Styela clava: one gene and its partners. The protein of the gene in region 3 purifies or fractionates together with the protein of the main gene of each other region. This does not show direct contact. Links are inferred from orthologs where the notes say so. Each region holds a gene or a part of one and is shown on either strand. Other genes may lie near its edges. The genes, in order: uncharacterized protein LOC120325942, GTP-binding protein 4-like and uncharacterized protein LOC120344534.

What was found.
Region 1: the proteins of uncharacterized protein LOC120344534 (region 3) and uncharacterized protein LOC120325942 purify together in Homo sapiens (affinity purification with mass spectrometry; 3 studies listed by BioGRID and IntAct, with this or other methods). This does not show direct contact. The link is inferred for Styela clava from reciprocal best matches to the Homo sapiens genes LYAR and GNL2.
Region 2: the proteins of uncharacterized protein LOC120344534 (region 3) and GTP-binding protein 4-like purify together in Homo sapiens (co-immunoprecipitation; 3 studies listed by BioGRID and IntAct, with this or other methods). This does not show direct contact. The link is inferred for Styela clava from reciprocal best matches to the Homo sapiens genes LYAR and GTPBP4.

Annotation. Positions count from the first base shown.
Region 1 is NC_135253.1:12,000,820-12,008,875, forward strand, and holds the start of uncharacterized protein LOC120325942, read right to left. Parts: upstream 3,080-8,056; 5' UTR 2,902-3,079; intron 2,327-2,901; exon of another isoform or gene 2,303-2,326; 5' UTR 2,251-2,302; coding exon 2,187-2,250; intron 1,828-2,186; coding exon 1,734-1,827; intron 1,600-1,733; coding exon 1,505-1,599; intron 1,018-1,504; coding exon 884-1,017; intron 526-883; coding exon 412-525; intron 333-411; coding exon 195-332; intron 1-194. Other genes in the region: 2-oxoglutarate and iron-dependent oxygenase domain-containing protein 2-like, read left to right, coding at 4,149-4,298, 4,586-4,750, 4,868-5,092, 5,342-5,599, 5,679-5,942; TATA element modulatory factor-like, read right to left, coding at 6,868-8,056. UniProt on the Homo sapiens protein: GTPase that associates with pre-60S ribosomal subunits in the nucleolus and is required for their nuclear export and maturation.
Region 2 is NC_135252.1:23,061,988-23,069,256, reverse strand, and holds the start of GTP-binding protein 4-like, read right to left. Parts: upstream 3,062-7,269; 5' UTR 3,041-3,061; coding exon 2,993-3,040; intron 2,627-2,992; coding exon 2,456-2,626; intron 1,579-2,455; coding exon 1,475-1,578; intron 1-1,474. UniProt on the Homo sapiens protein: Involved in the biogenesis of the 60S ribosomal subunit. Acts as a TP53 repressor, preventing TP53 stabilization and cell cycle arrest.
Region 3 is NC_135254.1:1,077,434-1,084,444, forward strand, and holds uncharacterized protein LOC120344534, read right to left. Parts: upstream 2,898-7,011; 5' UTR 2,201-2,897; coding exon 1,064-2,200; 3' UTR 529-1,063; downstream 1-528. Other genes in the region: small nuclear ribonucleoprotein F-like, read right to left, coding at 3,410-3,557, 4,705-4,820; transmembrane emp24 domain-containing protein 5-like, read left to right, coding at 5,965-6,117. UniProt on the Homo sapiens protein: Plays a role in the maintenance of the appropriate processing of 47S/45S pre-rRNA to 32S/30S pre-rRNAs and their subsequent processing to produce 18S and 28S rRNAs. Also acts at the level of transcription regulation.

The DNA of each region.
Region 1 (8,056 bases), on a different chromosome or scaffold from region 3:
CCAGATAATACCTCTTGATGTCATCATAATCAAATTTGAAGCTTTACCCACTAGAGCACTTCCACACTATCAACCAAAATCTTAACATCATGCTATCTAGCTAGAATAGCTAAATGATACCAAACATCATTCAACATTCCTTCAGTAGCACACTGTGGTTCATACTCCTGTTCTTGTTCTGAATATAATCATACCTTGTACAGTTCATTCCAAATGCGCTTAGACTGCCCAGCAGTGAAGTACGCACCAAGAACAACATTTTTTGTCCCGTCATCCTCTCGTACTAAATCCAAATCTTTTTCTTCTTTATAGAGATCTGACGATTTTTCAACCTGGAAGAAAAAGATGTAATTCAAAAAAATACTAGATGATTAGAACATGTTCGATAATTCTACCTAAAAATAATCTCACCTCAGCAGACAACGATTCTAAATCTGTAAATTTTAAACTAGGACGTTTCCTAGTTGATTTCTTCCCAAATGTTGACCCAAAACTTTCAGTGTCAAGAATATGTACCCGAGCATTCTGTATAAGAAAAAATTGAATTTGTTAGGTACAGTGACTTTTCAGTTTGTTACTGGCTTAATAGTGTAAGTTTCGTTTGGCATAATTAAAATTTCAGATATTCATTACTAATGTGCCCAAGAAAGGTCCAACCGGCTTCTTCTGAAGTGAAGAAAAGTAATACCAGATGCAACTAAAACTATATGGAACTTGGAAGTATGATGTCACTATCGGCCCCAGTATATATGGATTAAGGTGATTTGAAGCAATAAAATGCTGAACAAAATACTCGTACACCTAAAATTTTTGTGATTTCTCCTTAAAAAAGTTATTCATTTTTTGTTCAATTTTCAAAATCACACACAAAATAAATTATTACCTTGGCTCTGTCATGTAATAATGACATTGGTAATTTCCCAGTTCTTAACACAAGTTGATATGGATCCTTCATAACATTTCCAATTTCTTTCTGAAATCTCTGAAGATTTTTTTGAGCGATGACCCTTGTGTTACCTGCAATAGAATACAAAACTCTTATAGCCCATACAATTAAGTAATAATCTTAATTCCAAAACTTCCCAAAGAATTTATGAATAAGGGCTGACCTGGCCCAATGTTTCAACAGCCTAATTCTGGACAGTGTCGCGAGCCGAGGCCTTACTAATACTGATTAATATGTTATAAACCTGTTCCAAACCATATTTCCATAAACATATAAATATTATATAAAATTTAACAAACTGTGAGAGACCAGAAATATACGCAACTGTTCCTTTCTTCAAAAAATATAGTGGTTGTCATAAATAATGACTGTTTGTTTTAAGGGCAATTATGTCACACCTCCACAAAAAAAAAGTTCATAAATTAGACAAACTAATTTTATCATAAAATTATTAACAATTGCCAGATTAAAATTCTATTTATTGAGTAAAATATGTGTTCTTCATGTCTCAGTGAAATAAGACAGTTTAAAATGAAGTATAAACTTATTCAAACTCACCAAACCATCTTCGGTTTGGTTCCACTCGTGCTTGTGTACCAGATGGAAGCTCTCCTTGAAATTCAGGAGGTTTCACAATTTTTCCTTTACGATTTCTAGAAAGATTGATGTTATAAATGAGACGAGCTACAAATGAGTTAAATTAAATGTGCAATAAGAAGAAATAAAAACATAGTTTCAAATTAGTGGTAACCATTATAGACATTAATTAATCAAAATCAGACTTTACCTCACAGCCTTTCCACCTCTGTACATATTAAGTCTCTTTATTGTTGCCTTTGTTCTCATATTTTGACCTCCTTTGCCAACTTCTTTAGCTCGGTCTGTATATTTTTAAGAAGGCACAAAAATATATTTATTCACAATTGTATATATCCACTGTACTTAAATTTGAATCTAGGGTGAAATGGACATAATATGGTAAATTAATCCCAAAATCTGGATAATTCGAAAACAAGAGGAATTACATGATAATAATTATTTGTGCTATAGGATCCATATACCCAAATAATAAAGTAGTAATTGCGTATTTTGCATTCTCGAACCAGTATAAATTGGATTGCCAATTGAACATACGAATACTGTATATTAAAATATTAGATAGCTTAGTTTCAGTTCAGAAATGGCGTACTATTGATAGAAACATGCTATTCCTAAGAGTTTTGCACATTGATGTACATACCTGGATTATCTCCAGATGCAGATTTCCTTATCCTTCCTTCATTCCTTTTCTTAGTTTTGGCCATTTTTTGTTGTTACAAATCAAAACTATTAGTAAAGTATTATTGTCCTGTTGTCCTAGAATAATACTTTATACTGAATACATGATTATAATTAATAGGATTTATTGGAAATGGAAATTTCTGGTACAGAAATGCCAATAAAACTTGTATCGCTATTACTGTATTAAGTGTATAAAAATTACATCTAGATTAAATAAAAATGTCGAGGGCTATATATATACAATCATATTGAAATAACACGTACACTATCACAATGATAAAGGCTATACAAATATTAGATATACATGTCCAAGTGGATTTAGGTCTCTATATTTAATATACAGTCATCTAATAGGACCGGTATGGTTCAATTTTAGATGCAAAATAGGGCTGGATTCAGATATTTATTTTCATTGTACAGTTGTACAAGAGTTGAATGTAAAACAATAACTACATGAAAAAATACCAAAAAACGGAAAACATTGAATATTTTCAAAATATCTCAACTGTGAGGTTGGGACAATTCAACTTACATACAACTTCGAACCATTTCAAAAAATTCAAGTGCAGGTTAAAAAAAGCGCCAAAGCGTGAAATCCTGTGTAGTTTCGTACCTCAAGTATTTCTAGTAACGATCAATCTCATACCTTTATCATATACATACCTGATACATACCTTTATCATATTTCACCAAAACCTGTAGGGTCACATTTTGGCCAGAACAGCCATAGACCACTTATAACACTATCGCCCTTGAGTGGTGCATACCATATATGTACACACCCTTTAAACTTAACTATTCCCGCGTTTTATAGTATGTGGTATCATCACTCAATGGTGTTGTACATTCATCCAAATTCTTAATTTTTTAAAAAAAAATTTTTTATTACTATATTCATATGCCAGTGTATTTCATGTTGTGTTGTGTCTTTATTTATAGATGTTGTTTTGTCTAACAAACTCCTTTGTACAAACAGTTTTGTACACTCCACCCTTATCCCTGTTACCACATCCTGACATCCACCCACCCTCCTTGCACAACTGCCTGTATAAAGGACCATATTGTACATATTTGATTTACCCTATTATAATTTATATATATCAAAAGGGGTGTATGCCGCAGATCTGTGTTTTAGGCCAATATGGTCTTGTGCATACATCCCGTCTTCAGTATTTATAATTACTTACTCTTTTATATTGCTTTTACGAGACGAATAAACATACATACATACAACCCCACCATGACTAAGCCATATATGACACAGTCAGGTGGGGGTTGGGATTGATATATGCAAAGAATGTTATGCTACCACCACTAGAAGTAGGCTACTTTCAGACTTTAGGTCTGTAGGAACGAAACTACACAGCCAGACAGAACCCAATACCGGTACCGTACCACTATAAAACAAACAAAAAATCACCAAAAACTGCATATATATTCATACAGTCATACGAACACATTCATCCATTACCGGTACAGGCACCGCACGGTCGTACCCAAACCACTTTTTTTTAACTTTCTCCAGGTTAGCCTACCGGTATCTATTATTTTGATACGATTCATGATATCAATCCCAGCAGCCGGATGCCTGGTGAGAGATGATGAACACCACTCTGGAGGTATAAGTTACAATTACATCATTGACAGTCATCAATCAATGGTTACATAACCCAGAGATGAACGCAGGAACATGCCGTTTGGTAGCTGCAATAACGCAGGAGTCAATTTAAAATCGGACATGGTGTGTCCGGTTTGTTACATACATGGCTAAACAAGACTCATTCAAGACTTAACTCCTCAATGGTATATATATATATATATCTCGGTATGCTGCATTTAATTCAAAATACTCTAAACAAACTAACAAAAGAAAAAATGACACTGTTACAATTTCGGTGCAACCTACTGAACTAACCGGGTAATGGCACAATTCACCATGAGCGTTGGCTCAGAGCCTAGTGTTTTCTTCCGCTGCAGATGTTATTTTACCAGAAATTTCTACTCTGCTGAATATGGGAAACATTTTGAGTTTGAAGATAACGGTCAAGAATTTATTCAGCAAAATTCTAAAGTGAGTATATTTGTCAGGTGTCCAAATATTATATTGTTTGCTGGTTTGGGGCAAGAACTTTAGATAATACTTCAATATTGACCCAATTTCATTCCTGTTTTGTATATACATACCTTTATATTTGGTAAGTGAGCGAAGAATCTCTGTTTATGCTTCTATTTTAAAACATACCCAAGGTTTTGTCCACTCCATGATTTCTAAATTTCAGTTTTGTTTATATGTAATCTTGTATAATACTATCAATTGAACTTTGATTTTATTTATACCATCAGCCTCTTTTTTTATAGCTCTTAGAGGAAATAGGGTGTTCCACCCCAGAAAAGAAGAATAAACTGCTTTTTGTACTTGAAAAAGAGAGTACAAGAAGAAAAAATATAGATGCACAATCAGTACAACGGAAGAGTAAAATCAAGGCTTGTTATGCACCTTTGCACAAAGTGAATGTCTTGAAGGTATGATGTTATATATGCATCAGATGATATATTATTGCAATAAAATGTCCAAAAACAGGAATAAAAAAAATACAATTGCATCAAGTACATATTGAGTATCAAATCTTCTTAATTTAGGAAGAATATTTGAAAGAAGAATTTCTGGCCATTGTCAAGCATGCTAAAGAAGGAAATGCCACATTTGCAAGCTTGTCGAAAAAATTGAAGAAAGAAAAAGTAGAAGGCGTATATCGATTGCCAGTTTTTAAGAAGACATTTTGCAAAAACTTAGCAGAAGAACTTAACAATTTTGAAAGTAGCAATATGCCAAAAGGTCGTCCAAACACAATGAATAATGGTGGAGTGAGTATTAGAAATGCCAACAGTGTGCAAGGTGCCACATGCGCAAAAAACAACGCGCATGCTTACCGACAGTTTTTCCGTATCTGCATTGGCCAAAATCACCACCATCTACTAGGAAAACGCTTTCGATATGGAGGCAATGAATTGGCAAAATTTTTAGTAGTTTGTGGAAATTTTCAAGTACCATTGGTATCAGATTTCTTGTAGTTGTTATTAATTTATAACAAGCCTAAATCTCCCGCTTTTCAGATTCTACTTGATGAATTAGGATTCAATGAGGATTTTATTACACCGCTGCGTGAATGTTACCTTGACCCTATTGCGAAGATTCTATTCCCGGATTGGGTGGATGAAAAACTAGATTCTCATAAAGCGTTTACAGTCAATTATAAAGAAGATCAAGATTTAGACTTGGGATATCATTATGATAATGCAGAGGTAACCTTGAATGTGTGCCTTGGAAAAGATTTTGATGATGGAAGCCTATATTTTGGTTCAATGAGGCAGGTATGGGTTTGAATAATAATAGTTGCCCATTCTTTCGTATTCTGCCAAAAGAGGGATTATTAGTTTTTTTGTTCAACAGGAATGCAATAGGTCTGACAAGACTGTGGAAGTCAAACACAAAGTTGGTGAAGGAGTGTTACACAGAGGACAACACAAACATGGTGCCATGCCCATTTCATATGGCGAAAGAACCAACTTGATTATATGGATGAGATCTTCATCAATTAGAAACCAGCTTTGCCCTATGTGTGATAACAAACCCACACTCGCACCTGCTATTGGCTTTGGTGATGGATTTACAAGACATGACACACTAACAGTGCAAGTATGCAGTTTACATTAGCGACTCGTGCCACACTTAATCAAATACTACAATGTGAAAAGCTGCGTGGCTAATCAAATTTAAGAATGTTCCAAATTAGAAAAGGTATTTTTCAAATGTATTTTAGAAAAAGGTTTAGCTTGAGGCCCACAGCCTACTTAAATCGTGTCATTGCTACAGTTTCCTTCAATTGCTTTTGCTAAGTATTTTTAAATAATTAATTGCAATAAATATATTCATTTATAATAGAAAGCATAAAAGGGTTTCATTATTATCTGCGAAGAGAGTCTACTGAGAATATTATTTTATGATTCTAGCAGCCCGTCAATTCTATCTAGTCTGTGGATGATTATCAGTTATTGCACACACAAGCACACCAATTGCGGATAAAAGTATGCAATCGTCGATTCGTTGCAGATACCACTGAACCGTGCCACAGGTGCAAAATCAAATCAATGCATTGCACTTGTGGTATAGTCGTATTGCGGACTGGGCTGGAAAAAAAGCTCGCTTTCGAAGTGCTAGCCTGTTTACACTGACATTGGAAGAATAAAGCATTAATTATAATAATAAAAATATAAAACAATGCCACCGATGAATAAATATATAAGCAATCACCATATGGATACCAATGCGAATAATAATTGGACCAACTGATACAAAATGCTTCAGTGAACAACAAATTACCTAACAAGCATTTGGCAATCTTATCGGCTTCTATAAAAAATTGCATTGATATTTCTCTAAACAATTAGCTATAGTTTTGTCTCTAACAAAAGCATTATAAATCTATAGTGTTCTATTTGAAAACTTGCATCAGTGTTTTCAGCTTGTATACAAAGACTTGTCAAGGTTATCAATGCCAGCTTCAAACAAAACTTGAATGACGGATTTTATCCACTCGAAATATGCAGTAATCACAGGATTATGTATAATAAACTTTTGGTCATGATGGATCCACTTTTAAAAGATCATTAATTTGTTGCCGATACATTGCCTTTACGTCCGCTAGGTCCATCCTCAACTCTTCATTCTCTTCTTCCTTTTCTCCATACATGGTTAAGATTGCAGAATAACGTCCTTCAACATCAGCAAGTTTATCTTTCATGGTTTGGAGCTCCTTGGAAACACCTTCCAAATCTTCATTTAAATTTGTTAATCGAACTATTTCTTCAGCCATTGATGATCTAGTTCTTTCAAGCATGTTAATGTCACCTCGTAGCTGAGCTATTTCACCATCACGAAGCTTGATCATCGTCTGAAGATTTTCTAAAACATTTGACGAGGACATGGGCTTTCCAGAGTCTAATGACAATTGACTAGCTAATGTAGGGAGAGAATTAGAGCTCATATGCTTGTCAAATGTTTCAGTAGAATGGAATGCATCATTTGAGCTTCCAACTGACTCGGTTTCAACAAGCTGATTGCTGGAAACAGAAGTTATCTCAGATCTACTCCACATCATTCTCTCTTTCTCTTTTTGAAGTGCTTCATGCTGTGATGCAAATTTTTTTCGTTCCGCTTCCAATCGTACCTTTTCCATTTGTAGTTGATTTTCTAAGAAAAGACGTTCTTTTCTAGATTTGTGTACAGTTTCTTTTTGTAAAATTCTCAATTCTTCCAATTCCTCAGAAACCAGAGATGTTTGAGTTTTGTATTCATCAACTTTATTTTTCAATATATCTATTTCCTTAAGTTGCTGAGATATAGTGTTCTGAGCACTTTCAACTTGTTTTTCATAGGCAGATGCTTTTGATTTTGCTTCAATGGCACCATTCTGTGCAATTCTTTCATTTTCCCGGGCAGTTAATAACTCAGCTTGTGCTTCCCCTAATCTATTGTTCAATGTTTTCTCAAGCGCATTCCATGAACGTTGTTGCGATGAATGAGTGGCCTGAAGGTTTTCAATTTGCCTCAGGAGGGGCCTTGTAGTATTTGAAACATTATCACTCAAGTCTTGATTGCGTCCCTCAGATTCTTGTATCCTCTGTTGTAATTCTCTTATTTCTCTCCTGTGATCGTCATCTTTTCTGGATGCCGCTGCTTCAGACCTTGACACAGTGTTATTCAATTCCATTATTTGAAGCAATAATAATTGTTTTTGATGTTCATGTTCGCCAGATAGTTTTTTCCTT
Region 2 (7,269 bases), on a different chromosome or scaffold from region 3:
TACGTTCTGGTCGGGTTCGGTGGGGCTACTCTATCGCCGACTTTTTTTTTAAAATGAGGCGTTTCGGCCGTGTTGTGGCTACGAGAAATCGTGGTCTGCAAAAAACAGAAGTTGCCTCATCAACACGACACATACTTTACAAAACTCTTGCGATGACAATTCAATGAAATCCTAAATAAAATATGAAATTTTGGGTTTGCTTCGGGCTCGGGCCTGCAAATCCAGTTAATTAGTCGAGTTCGGGTCGGGCTGAAATTTTTGGGCCAGATCTTACCTCTAATAACTACGTATGAATAGTGTCATGTGGTAGGCACAGTGGACCAAAGTTGGCTGATCGGGGCCAAAATTGGAAGGTATAAAGGATATTCGAGGGCCAAAAGAGTGGAGCACCTGCAAGGGCCCGATGCTGGTATGTATAAATAGGATACAGGTATAATTGAACATGCCAAAACTGTCATATTGATTATTGACCTAACAATTGGCCAATGGCGGTATCTAAAACGAAAAAAGAAAAAACAAAGTTTTGAACTATTTTGAAATGAATCAAATATTCGAATACATTCAAATTGTGTTAATTTTATGAACAATATTTGTGTGTTACGAAAGTAGAAAACAATAAGCCTCGTGTCAAAACTAAATTTAATCGCAATATCAACAAATTTCGTGAACTATTTTTGAGTGAAACAATATAAAAATTTGGTTTTAGTTCGGTTGTGGTAGCATCAGGCAGGCCAGATTGAATAACCCACCAGGCCGGATTTGACACGAGGGCCGCCGGAGTTTGTCCAGTGTCCACAAGTGCAGTTTTAAGCACCTTGTGGCGTCTGAAGATGCCGCAAAACCATTGCAAGATTTCCAAACCATGGCCGCTAAGGTCAGGCCAGGGCAGCTGACTTTTTAGCTGCCACAGTCCCCGAACGAAGGGCGTGAGGTGGTGTATCACAACAGAAAATTGAAAACCATGGTTGGTAAAATTGTGTGAACCCAGGGATGTAGGCTGTAATGGCGGGACTGCCCCTGATGATGACACACTTTGGGTAAGTTAGAACATTTTCCGGTGCTCTCGAAGTATGCGAACCAAGATGGCGGACATCGGAACGTAACATGGGTAACAGGTTAGGGTTAGGCGATAATTTTTTTCCAATTTTCCTTATTTTAGTCCAATTATCAGTTCGAAGACTAGCCAAGAGCCTCCCGTATTATTTATACCTAAAATTATGGCCTAACCCTAACCTAGTACACATATTACATTCCGATGTCCGCCATCTTGGTTCGCATACTTCGGGAGCCCCCATTTTCCGTATGGATACAGTTTTTGATTAATTTGAGGTATGGCTAGGTTTAAGTAAATATAGAGTAATAGCGCCATAAAACCATGGCGAAAAACGCCGCGGTTTGTTTTGGCGGGAGCTGCCATGAAGTGGTAAGAATTGCGCCTCAATGTCCATGTCAGTTTTAGAGCCAACGTTCTTACTTGTCAATAAGATGTTTGGCAGTGTTGATTTGTCCGAGAGCAAGTTTGTAATGGTCCTTGTCATAGAGAACGTTCATTAGATCTGCATAAAATGGATGGACATCCTGAAAAAAAAAATTAAGAGATGAATAAAGGTAATATTTAGTCTGTATCAACTTTGCAGTTGCCACAAGGATGCTTAAATGGGATAGTATTAAAATGATAAATGAGAATACCATAATCCAGAGACGGGCGATTACTTTTTTGAGTGGACCATTTACAGATAACAGACTTGGTCACTGGGCAGGACACTCAAAACTCAACATGGACCTATAAAAAAATGTTATTTACAAATAAAAACCTATGAAAAAAAAGTTTATTTACAAATACCAAACAACAAGCGAAGCAAGTGGCGCCTTATATTTAGGTGCAGATAATACATTGGAATTACAGTCTATATTTTAGCCGATGATTCGTTATTTTTTTCGAAACTTTTAACGCAAAATTATATACGATATCTATAAAAACTTTTGACAAATTTTGGGTTATGTTGAACCAGTTAAAAAGATCAACCAAAGCATTTAATCAAAAATTATACTAGTTGGAAATGAAGCGTGTTTCAAAATATACTTCTATTCTGCTCTGAATAACATCCTGAAATTAATTATATTCAATATTTTAAATTCTAGATTTTAAGAATAGCTTGGGCGCTCCAAAAGTATGTGTACTAATATGAAGGTAACTAATTTTTTTCGCCTACTTCACATCAAGTTGTGCGAAGGGACTGAAACCTATTGGCAGGGGATATTCACTTTGCTAACACAGATTTTTCCTGAATTCGTAAGGAGAATCGGAACCTAACCTGGTACTTATACTACGGTGCCATAGCTTGAATAATTCTATCAAAAAATAATCATTCTGAGCGAAGCGTCTTAAAATAATGAATCACTCAATTTTATCCATCCCTGTATCAATATTCAAAATTAATAATAATAAAAATACCTCAAGTTTAGGAAACTCTGTAAGAATCAGACTCAATCTATCATGGTAGTTCTGTTGAGTGTATCGAACTTTCCGTAAATAAAACGCTCGTATTCTGGAGATCGGATAACTTTTATGAACTACAGTTGGAGTTTTTCTCTGTGTCTTTGATAATGTGATGTCAATGAAGTCCTGTGAAAATAAGTAAGGAAAGATTAGTAAAGAAATTGAGAATGAGTTTAGCTTGAGAGTACAGAGTAACCTAAAAATGATCCAATGTCATTTAGAAACTATTCTGTAGAGAACGTAACTTTTGTGCAAAGTGTCATGCACAAACAGAAGTTCCAGTGTTCCAAAGAATCCAATGGTGAAGTTTTTAGATTGCTCTTACTTTCAGTTTATTGCGCAAAACTGGTTTGCCGATTTATGCCGCTATGGAGGCCTATACTGTCATGTAAAGAGGGAGTTTGCTCTCACTATTATAATTAATTAATGTCTTTCAATGCGAGGGTTATTCTTGAAATATCATACTGAACTATTCCCATATTCTATACTTACTTTCGATGATGGCACCACTGTGATCTTTTTGAAATTATACAGAGCCATTTTTAATTTTATGCTGAAAAAAACAAAGAAATTGTATTACATGCTTCATAGAGACAATATGCCTAAGGCAGAGTAGACTATATTTGGCTAAACGCTAAAACTGTGAAATGAGCGTCTCTTTCCGTACCATCATAAGACATGTAAAAGGTTTTTGCGTTCTTGGCAAAAAGTGCAAAAACATAACAGAATACCGTACGGGTAGGTAGTTTTGCAGTGACAAATTGAATAGGATTAAAATAGGTTTTACATACCTATCCCGGGGGGAAGGAAAGTATAAGACGGCCTAACCATATGGCGAACCACGGCCTCGTGTCCGATTCCCATTCCATGTCTGGTATGGGATTAGTTAGTTATTTGACAAATTGTTTTTTAGAAGCATGGACTTCAGGACTGGTGGAGGAAGCCCTAATCGATCAGCGGTTACGTGAACCCCCAACGACGGCGAGGAGTCCAGCAATCCTCTCACACATAACCGTCCATGCATGGAATTTGAACCTGCAAACCCGCGCAGAGTAATCAGAGGTCTGGCGAGCGTATTTCTAACGCTTAGCATAATGGAGTCTCATGTTGTTTCGTACCTAACATACTTCTAGAGGGCGTAGCATAACAATTTTTTCATGTTTCGATCCTAACCCCCACATGCTGACATGACTACACAATCCAAAAATTATGTCACTATGACGTAATAGCTGAATAGAGCTCTTCAAACTATACGAATTGTCATTCAAAGCACGCAGACGAGCACCCGAAATCAAACAGCTATTTCTCTTGTTTTCTCGTCGCGACGATCTCAATATGAGAGAGCTCGATGACGTTAGTTCTCTATCGTCGGCAACGATGCTATTTCGGGTGATCGTACGTATATTTGGCAAGCTCTATGACGTGCTTGTGATGTTGTAGTCTACTGACGTAAGCTTTGGACGGCCAGATTTCAGATTGGGGTTAGGATTGACATATTAAAAAATGGTCATGCTACGCCCACTAGAAGTGAGTTAGGTACAAAACTACAAGAGAATTGTATGATGAGCCACACTGCCGCTACTAACCAACATCAAATTATATTCCAGGAATAGGCCGTGGTACAGTCAGACAGTGGTAAGATTGACCATGGTAAGATTGTTGACCGAAAAAAACGTCGGCACTGGTAACTGGGCTAAGTCGTACCTACCGGTAACGTTAAGTCATTTTAGCATTCAGGCCAGACTGCCAGAAGTACGGTAGACTGTAAGTATACCAGTAAGTATATTTCGATTTTTCCGCAAAAAAAATCATACACAAAACACAAACAATGAACACACATTGACACAGAAGATTGGGAAAATCGGGGAAACCTTTATAAAGGTTTAACACAAGTAAATATACATGCGCCAGTTTACCCACAGCACACAAACAACTATTCAAAATAAAAAGACAAAACTTGTGTAACATAAACACTCGGTGGGTCTCAATTAATAAGGCTGAAAAGTAGCCAGATAGGCCAGTAAGGAATGGCTGAATTTAGATTCCCGTTCACGATGAAAAACTTATATCTGTTCACACTCGGATACACTAAGCTCACTCAATTTCCAGTTTTCGAAAATATAGAAATAGCATAGCAAAACCTGAAACTCGGGCCTAAAAACCTAACACGCGGAACACAGATCGCCGAATCGATTGCGTAATCAGTACCTATTCATGTGTGACATTGTGGAATTTAGGATGGGAATGTAGATCTCATCATGGGATCTACATTTATCCCGATGGAGTGGAAAGCCGATAAAAAGACGAAATCATATAATATAGCTAAAGTGTTTTTTAACTTTATTTTAAGTGATGCTCGCCTTTTAGGTATCTCTACATTTCGTTTGTCTGTCTACTTTTTGTGCCGTTTTGTTTTTATGTCAGAGTAGCCTACTGAAATAGGGTAGGATAGGAGGGGATTTACATATTTATCCCGGGGAGAAAAAAGCCGATAAGACGGCTTAATTATAGGACGAACCACGGCCTCTCGTCCGGTTACCAGTCCAGGTCGACTATGGGATTAGTTAGCCAGTTATTTGTTTTCGGAAGCATGGACTTGATGGTGGAGGAAGCCGGTTAATGTAAATGTAAATAAATGATTGATTGATCGAGCGAAGCATGGCCTATCGTCCTGTTACTAGTCCATGTCGAATATGTAAGCAGTTGGCCAGATGTTTGTTCTCGGAAGCATGGACTTGATGGTGGGGGAGATCGTAACCGATAGAGCGGCGGAGAGTCCAGCAATTAATCCTCTCGCACATAATTACCCTACGTGGATTCGAACCTGCGAACCCACGTAGGGTAATTAGAGGTGCGGTGGCGAAGCGTGTTTTTCTTACGCAGGGTTTCCTAACCCGAGTCCGCGGTCTCAAATGAGTCCGCGAAGCGTTTGAATGAGTCCGCAACGAGCCAGAAATTCACTGCTGGTCGCAAACGTCTTTGCGAAACTAACTATCAGACAAGTTACGATTTACATTAGAATTTACATAAAACATAAATGTCAAGTTTATTCACATAACATTTCGAGTCAATAATTACTGGTTAATGAGTATATTCAACTATTAGTACCAGGTGACGAAAACACCTTCCAACGTAAACACGAGTCTGCTCACGCTTCGATAGAGTTCGCGAGTTGGAACAACGAGGAATCATTCTTTTTTGGTAGGTGTCAATGGTGGCAACGCAAATTTTCTAAATTGAAAAGCGGCAATACAAAACACTAAAAATAAAACGGATAACACCATCAGTTTTGTTTTATGATTATCCGCGACCGATTAAAAACGCTTTTTTGAACATTGCAAATCGCCAAATTTCGGGTGCTACCGTGGTATACGTACCAGGGCATTTACCTCAGGATTCTTTGCCTTAGTCTCCACATTGGTACATACAGTACTGGAGCGCCGTAAGTGTTGTACGACCTACGAACAGCTCAGATTTGTCGAATTCACAAAAATACAAATCAAAACAAAATATAATCGGGCACTTTACCATATTAATATTTTCTGATTAGTATTGTTTTTATTTCGTCAACACAATTGCATATTAAAATCATCACAATTAACTTAATAGTAAAGCAAGGTGATGAATATGTATTTTTGATTTACTAATAAACTTTAAATATAATTTAAGTGCTAAATCAAGTTGTACTATCTGGAACTTTACAGCAGAAAGTATAATTTTTCTAACGGCGATAACAAATTCGCGAGATCGCAAAAACTACGTATCAAAACTAAATATAATCGGGCAATATATTCTCACATTATTATGTTCGCAGATTGCCGTGGCATTTTAAAGAAGTAATGTTTTCATCTTGTCGTAAGTCGACGCAACGGCGAGTTACCACCATGAACACAATAAATTAGAATAGAAAGACATTTTAAATTCTCGTCGTCGTCATGGACTGAATATTGTGCGACAGAAACCGCCATTACACACTAAAAAGTCGGCTCTTTTAACGAACGCGTAAATGCGCGAATTTCCGAATTTTATGTTATGTTCGGTTTTATTGCTTCTTCACAAAGAGTACGGTTGCAATAAATGCTCCTTAAGTTCGCAAAGGTTTTCGCCAGTGAGAAAACAGTCCGCGACCAAGAAAGGCTGGGAAACGCTGTTCTAACGCTTAGCACGATGCACACATTTCAGATGCATGGACTCGTTTCGGGTTTACGACAGCGGGGTGGACTCGTTTCGGGTTTACATAGGATGATATTTTCATATTTATCTCGCGGAAAGGAGGCCAGGGTAAGACAGCTTCGTTACGTGTTCGATAGATAACATATTCAATAATGAAATGAGGAGAACGAATTGTAAAACATACGTTTGCATCTAGCGTTATTTTAATTGAAAAAAAATTGAAAGGTTTACCGCCATTTGTATCAAATTTCCGCTAATTTCTATATATTGTCTTATTCAAGTGAAATATAATTTCAATGTTAGTGAATGGCACAATAAAATTATCGGCAACATACAATACAATAATTAAAATTGCTTCGAAACATCTTGACAATACTGAATACATCTGAAAAACACTTTCAAAATAATTGAATAGAAGAATAAAATTATCGGCAATACAATGAACATGTCTCAACAGAATTGAATAGGACGGATTCCGGTTCTGCATATGCTAGACTATAGTCTAGACCAGACATGAGCAAAGTACAGCCCGCGGGCCAAATCCGGCCCGTTGGGTAATTCAATAGGGCCGCCTGATGCTGCCACAACCAAACTAA
Region 3 (7,011 bases):
GAAGTTAGGCGCTTTTACGGTAGCATATTTTGTAATAAAATTTGTTATGGCTAAACAAACATCAATCAATACCCAGCCATAGCTACAGGAGCTTTACAGACATTGATAGTTTTTGTTACCTTTTCCGACATCGTATTTATGTGAGGCCAAGTTTTTAATATTGACAACTACAAAAACAAAATATTGAAGTAGGCTGGATGTAAGATACACGCTACGTGTATCACTTTCCGCCATATCTCCAAATTGGGAACAGTTAATGGTGAACAAGTACAGATATCGCATTAAATAGCATCACCTTCGTTTTGAGTATATTGTCAACATAAAATGTTAATTATTTGCGAAAGAAGTCCTAGACTTCTCGCCGCCGGTCAGTTACGGTTTCTTCCACCATCAAGTCCATGAATCTGAAGCATATACCTGGTCAAGTTATCCCATACCCGACATAGACTGATAACTGGACGAGAGGCGTGGTTTCCCACACAAATAAGCTGCCTTACCACCCCCCCCCCCCCAAAAAAAAAGATAAATATGTAAATTCTACCTCAAGGCATTTGAAACAGTAGATACATGGGCTTCTATGTGTTCTTTGTTTAAACATGGCCCTATAATTCAGTACAGTGGATCATAAGGTTTTGGCCATTTATTAGTACCGGTAAGTTTATTTAAAAAATTAGTAATTGGTAATATTCTCTAGTCTGAATTATATATCATTTTTTCTTCTTCTTTAGAGCTCTACTCAAAGAGGAAATATTACTGGATCCAGCACAATAAGCAATACAAAGCCTTTAATCCAAGAAGCCAAAAATTGAAAATAACTGTTTTGAGAATATATGAAAAAAACATCAACTTTTTTTCAACTTTTATTTAAAATAGTTCGGTAAATATTGCTGATCAAACCATGGTTGATTTCCAGTCTAAAAACCAATTATGTCTATGTAAAATTTTTAATCAATATTGTTTTCAAAATTTGCCCCTAAGTACGGAGAACTCGCCTTGTCCATTGCTTTGCTCGGAGCAAATAGCTGGTGGGTAATAAGCAGGGAGGAGCAGAAAGAAATATTTCTCAATCAACTTCGGTTTTAATTTTTTTCTTTTTGTGTTTTTTCTTTATTTTCGAGTCAACTCCCACATTTTTTAATTCCGAATTGTCAATTTTTATCAAACTTTCATCAGTAATCCCATTATCAGCATTTTTGAGTCCGTTTCTGCCTTTTTTAGATTTCTTCTTTTTTTTCTTCAGTATAGCAGCATTTTCTTCGTGATTTAGCACCAAATTATCAGCACTTTTCATTATAATTTCATCCTTCCCACTATTTTCATCGGTTTTCTGAATTTCAGTTTTTCCTATTTTATTGTTTTCTTTACAATTCCTTATATCTTTCTTCTTTTTCTTAGATTTTCCAGAATTTTCAGTGGTGTCCAGTTTTCTCTTCTTTATTTTACGAGAGTTTTCGCATTCTTTTCCAGCATTTTCATTGTCTTCATTTAACGAGATATTCACTGAACTCTCATTTTTGTCTTTCAATTCTCTTTTATGTTTCAAAGTCTTTTTTTTCTTGGGTTTTTCTGCTGAAATTTCATCTTTTTCAAGATTATTTGAAACGTTTTCATCCAATTTCAGTTTTTTCTTTTTTTTATCTTTTTTATTGACAATTTCGGAATCATTTTTTGCTGATTCAGCAGTTTTTTCAACTTCCTTTATTTTAACACCCTCTTCTTCCCGGGAATCCCCATTTGACTCCCCTTTACAATTTTTGACATCATTTTTTCCGTTTGCTGCAGAAAAAGCCGACCAAATTTCCTCCCCAAGTTTCGAATCATACATTCTCAAACTATTTTTCAAAAAATTGAGGAATTTTGGGCGTTTTCTTGGAATATTATCGTAGTTTTTTAGATTTTCAATAAGTTGTTTCGCTTTTGAGCTCAAATTTGAGTTAGAATCCGACAGAATCGAGTCAATATTATCAAGCCATTTTTGTTGCTTAACGTCACCTTTATTTGGTTTAAATTCCGTACCTTTAGCAGAATATTTTTGATCTTCGGTGATGCACGAAGTGTGGTTTTTGTAATCGTCGCCGTAAAAATCACAACTACAATCAATGCAGGTTAAATATTCGCATCCGCGGCAAGTATAAACATGTTTTTCGACTTTGTTTTTTTTTAAAGATTCTCCACAGCCACTGCAGGTATAGAAAACCATTTTCTAAAATATTATTTAAAGTCTAAAAGTTAGAAAAAAAGTTGGACAGAATAAACGCAAAAATGATGAAATGAATAAACTATTATTCCAAATACATTTTAAAATAAAATTTCTGGGTTGCCAGAATTCTCAGCCCAAAACACAAATAAGTCAATGAATTAGTTTAAAAATATTATTTAAACCAGGGATGTGCAACCTTTAAAAAGAGCGCCAAATACAAACAACTGGGTGAAAACGCTTTATTTAACAAAGGCTTACTTAAACCCAGGGGTTGCCAAAAAAATCAACTTTTTTTAATCTGTCATACCAGATACATTATGATTTTGGTCCCAAAAACAAGAATTTTAGGAATTTCCTCCCCGTTGAACATTTCTACTCTCATCAGAGCTTTAGACAGGAAAAAAGAAATGATATCTAATAATTTAGATTAGTTAGAGAATGTTACAAACTGATGAATGGTCAAAACCCAATAGTATTCTTTACCAATTACATTCTGAATTATGATGTTGAACAAGGAACACATAAAAATCAATCTATATTCAGTGAATTCAAAAAACCTGTGGGAATTAATTTAGGAAATGATATTTGTACCAAGGGTGGTCAAAAAGAATAATCTGCAATTCATAATACATTTTAAAATGAGTGAATTTGCAAAATCTGTTGAAATTAGTTTAGAAAATGAATTTAAACCAAGGGTGGCCAATAAGAATTCCTAAGCACATTTTCAAATATATTGTCGTAATAAGGTCAAATGCTTTAAATCAGAACAAGTCAAAAAGTCAAAAACAAAATTTAAAAGACGAAAGCAATTTTACTAAGCATTTTTAACAGCTCACATAACACATATGACAATGTTTCCATTATTGAAATTCGATATAATGACCCATGTAAAAACCATCGTAGATGCGATCACCAAACCAGTGGGAAAAATATAAAAAGTCCAAGCTTAATGCTGCAGATTTCTGAAAGCATTAGGCATACTTATTAAGTTAAAAGGTATCAATTCTCACTCTGGAACAAAATCTAAGGCGTGAGGATGAATGATCTCGAGAAAAGCCATAATGGCAGAGAAGTTTATGATTAGATAAAACATTCGGACATTCAACTAAGTCCCAAAAGCTCAAAATTTAATGATTCTTTTCGAAAAAAAAAAAAGTGTTGTATCTAGGTTTGGAAGTCTTCAGTATAGAAAGGAATTCCCGGGGAGGATTATTCTTTCATTTCTCCTTCTTCATCATCTTCTTCTACTCCCCGGATGTAAAGTACGTTATTACAACGAATCAATATTTCTCCGAGATGTCCTGATAAAGCCCCGTCAACATATTCTTCTGTGTTTGCCAGTTGCATGTTCATATACCTGGAATATTGTTTAAAGTTTTAACTTGAGATAAGATTTATCCAGGAGAAAAAAAACGGTCAAATTGGCTGAAATCCAGCCACAATCAGTTAGTTGTTACATGAAAAGGGGGAACCAGACTTAAAAATTATTTGAAGTTTTCAACTGAGATATGACATTTTTATATTTATCTCAAAGAGGAATTTTGATGAGACAACAAAATCATATGACAAACTGCTACCACTCAGCTCAGCGACTGGCACATTGCAGTGAAACAAAGTTCTACGATTCCAAGATTTGGTTCAATAAAACAAATACCCGCTTTGTCTCTGAAATAAGGGCATCTCGTACAATGCCAGTTGCGTAAGATTGTTTCATGTTCGTTGCGATAATAGTATAAACCAATCGTGACGACAAACTCTTGAATTCTATGTTAAACTAATTTTTTTTTCTTTGGTAAATTAAATTAGGATAGGATTTACATATTTATCCCGGGGGAGAGGAAAGCCGATAAGACGGCTTATCCATATGGCGAGCCACGGCCTCTCGTCCGGTTACCATTCCAAGTTGGGTATGGGATTAGATATATTGTTTGTTTTCGGAAGCATGGACTTGGTGGTGGAGGAAGCCGTAACCGACCAGCGGTTACGTGATCCACCCAATGACGGCGAGGAGTCCAGCAATCCTCTCGCACATAACCATCTCTGCATGGGATTCGAACCTGCGAACCCACGCAGAGTAATTAGAAGTGTGGTGGCGACCGTATTCCTAACGCTTAACCCGTTGAGCCACATCGCCGCGCTTTTTTCTGTGGATTCCAATTTTTTTAGATTCCACTTCCATTTAATTTATTGCGTAATTCCAGTTTGTGGTGATATAGAGGTGCCAGAGGTTTGCAGTCACTATTTTAAATGATGTCTTTAAATGTTGGAGGTTATTCTTGGAATCGTAGAACTGTGCCATACTTTAATTTTTTAAGGTAAAAGTTGTGAAGAAACGGCTATGTTTGATGCATCATTTTGAAAGCCATGGATACGCTTGCCATCGCATCAATTATTACAGGATTATCTGTCCTAACGGTTTCCCTATCTTCCAGGGTAAAATAAAATCTGAGCTTTTATTTGGCAAGGCCCGATTTATCCTGTTAACTAAATAAATCAGTTCTTACCCGTCCACAGACACGAGATATCCTTTATATTCCATTCCCCATTTCAGTTTCACGATGACAGGTTTTCCAGTCAATGAATTTATGAATGGTTTCGGGTTCATAGGAAGCGTAGTCATGATGATTTTCTGCTGATATCTGCTGGAAAGAAACTAGAAAACACGAATTCTAATCAACAAAGCAACTCGCGACAAACGTGCGATTCTATCGGTGGTGTACGGAGTCTGGTTTTTCTTGCTTTCGTTGATTGGATTTGTATGGTCCAGTGGTTCCCAACCTTTTCCGTTGAATTCCGATATCGTGCTCTTTATTTCTACCTCAATATACATAAAGAGCATTTCATTTATTCAATCTCCAATTGATCCTAATCCTGTAATCGTGTAAAATAGGATTATAGCAATAATAAACAACTGAAAAATATCGTATAAGTATAACTTATTATATCGTAATAATGATAATTTCAAAGTCAAGGTCCATTAGTGAATGAGAAAAGCGATTTTTTCATAAAGTAACAAGAAAATTAATAATAACAACAGAAAAATAATAAAACGAGCCATGGTTTCATTTCGTAGATAAAAAATTAAAATAATACCTATCGCACGAGCGTACACATCCGAAACGTCCACTTTATCCATACCCATGTTCTTTCAAACTTTTTTTCCAAATGACTCACTTCGCACGGCCAATTTTTTTTGTGACCTTAGGTACTAAAATTAAAATTTGATAAAACAGAAACCATTGAAAAATAAAAATAAAATTGACGATACATTCAATATGATCGATGCTCGCATATTCTCACACAAAAGATCAAATTTTGACGAATATACGTATCAATCTTTCACATTGAATCGATATTTTGTTTTAATATAGTTGGTGTTGAAATCTCTTTACCGCGACCACCATTATGTCATTTCGCGACCCACCGGTATGGCGGGAATTGATGCGTGGTCGGGACCCCCAGTTTTGAGATCCCTAATCAATAAAATTTTTTGAAGGGGATTTGTGGCAGATCTTGTCCACAAGATAAACATATTACATTCATAAAAGTAATACCAGATCTTAAATTAAAATACAGCGCAAGAAATATACGATAATTTGAAGATCTTGAAAAAGGGTATCGAGGCGGTTGCCACGACTAGAATTCAACTTTAACCCCTGACCCTACGCTCTCATTTCCGCATTTCGTGTCGTTTGCTTCCCGTACGCCGGCGTTCAGCATAGATTGGAGTTTTTTCTGTTTGAAGTTGAGACGAAATAGACAAAATGTTTATCAAATTGGTTTTCTATTTGTCTGTAATTGTAGCAGGATCATTCGGGTACCGGGATGTCGACTTTACCGTTCAAATTTCGCCGATGAAACGAGAATGCTTTTATGAAACAACCAAAGCAGGACGTGCAATGGACATTGAATTTCAGGTTTGTTGATAGCAATAGGATGTTATTTTTGTATTTATCCTGGGAGGTGAAAGCCGAAAACAGTGTTAATCATTATTACTTATCGAATTTAATCGGTAAGTATGTTGATAGGTATTTGTTTGTCTGTTAGATGCAAGCGATACCGGTATCTCATGAAAGCGAGATTGAATCTGCTCCAGATTTTGCATGTGCATTCATCATATGTCGTACTAGGAGCCTATTGATTTTGGATGAATTATGTTGTATAATTAGCGAGTTAATAATTAATTAGTGATGGGACACAAGGTGTCACTATGGAGTAAGAGCGCTGTTTTGGGGGATCCCCTAACTTTCGATTGATAAGTCTTCGGTCTCTGACCGATATTCTCGTTGTAATGGTTAACTAGTTACAGATATTTTTCTTGATGTTGGGGAACAACAGTATCGGAGTATGCAACGTTTAACAAATTGCAGAATTGAGCAATATTGTCGAATTTTAAAGAGGATAAATGCTGATTCTTTCCCAGATCAGCAGATAGCATGTCTTAGTAGTGCGATATCAGTACAGAATAAAATGAAGCTGCGCAGTAACCAAAGAATCGTAATCTAAAAACGGCATTATAGGATTTCAGAAGAAAATAATTTAATTTGCAGAAAAAAAAAAAATTGGATGTTCTTAGCAAAAAACAGTCAACAAATCGAATTTCGCTTATCTGACAACTCACTCAAATAATGATGATTGAATGATGCTTTTATTCGATGAGCTACTGCACAGGAATCAATCGAGCTTCCTAAATGTTTCATTCAGATCCCACTCCAACAAAAGTGTTGAAAAATACTAGTGGGGTCTGGTATAGTTTAGTACCACATATAGCCTACTTCTAATCGGCCTGGCTCGACAATTTTTTCATATGT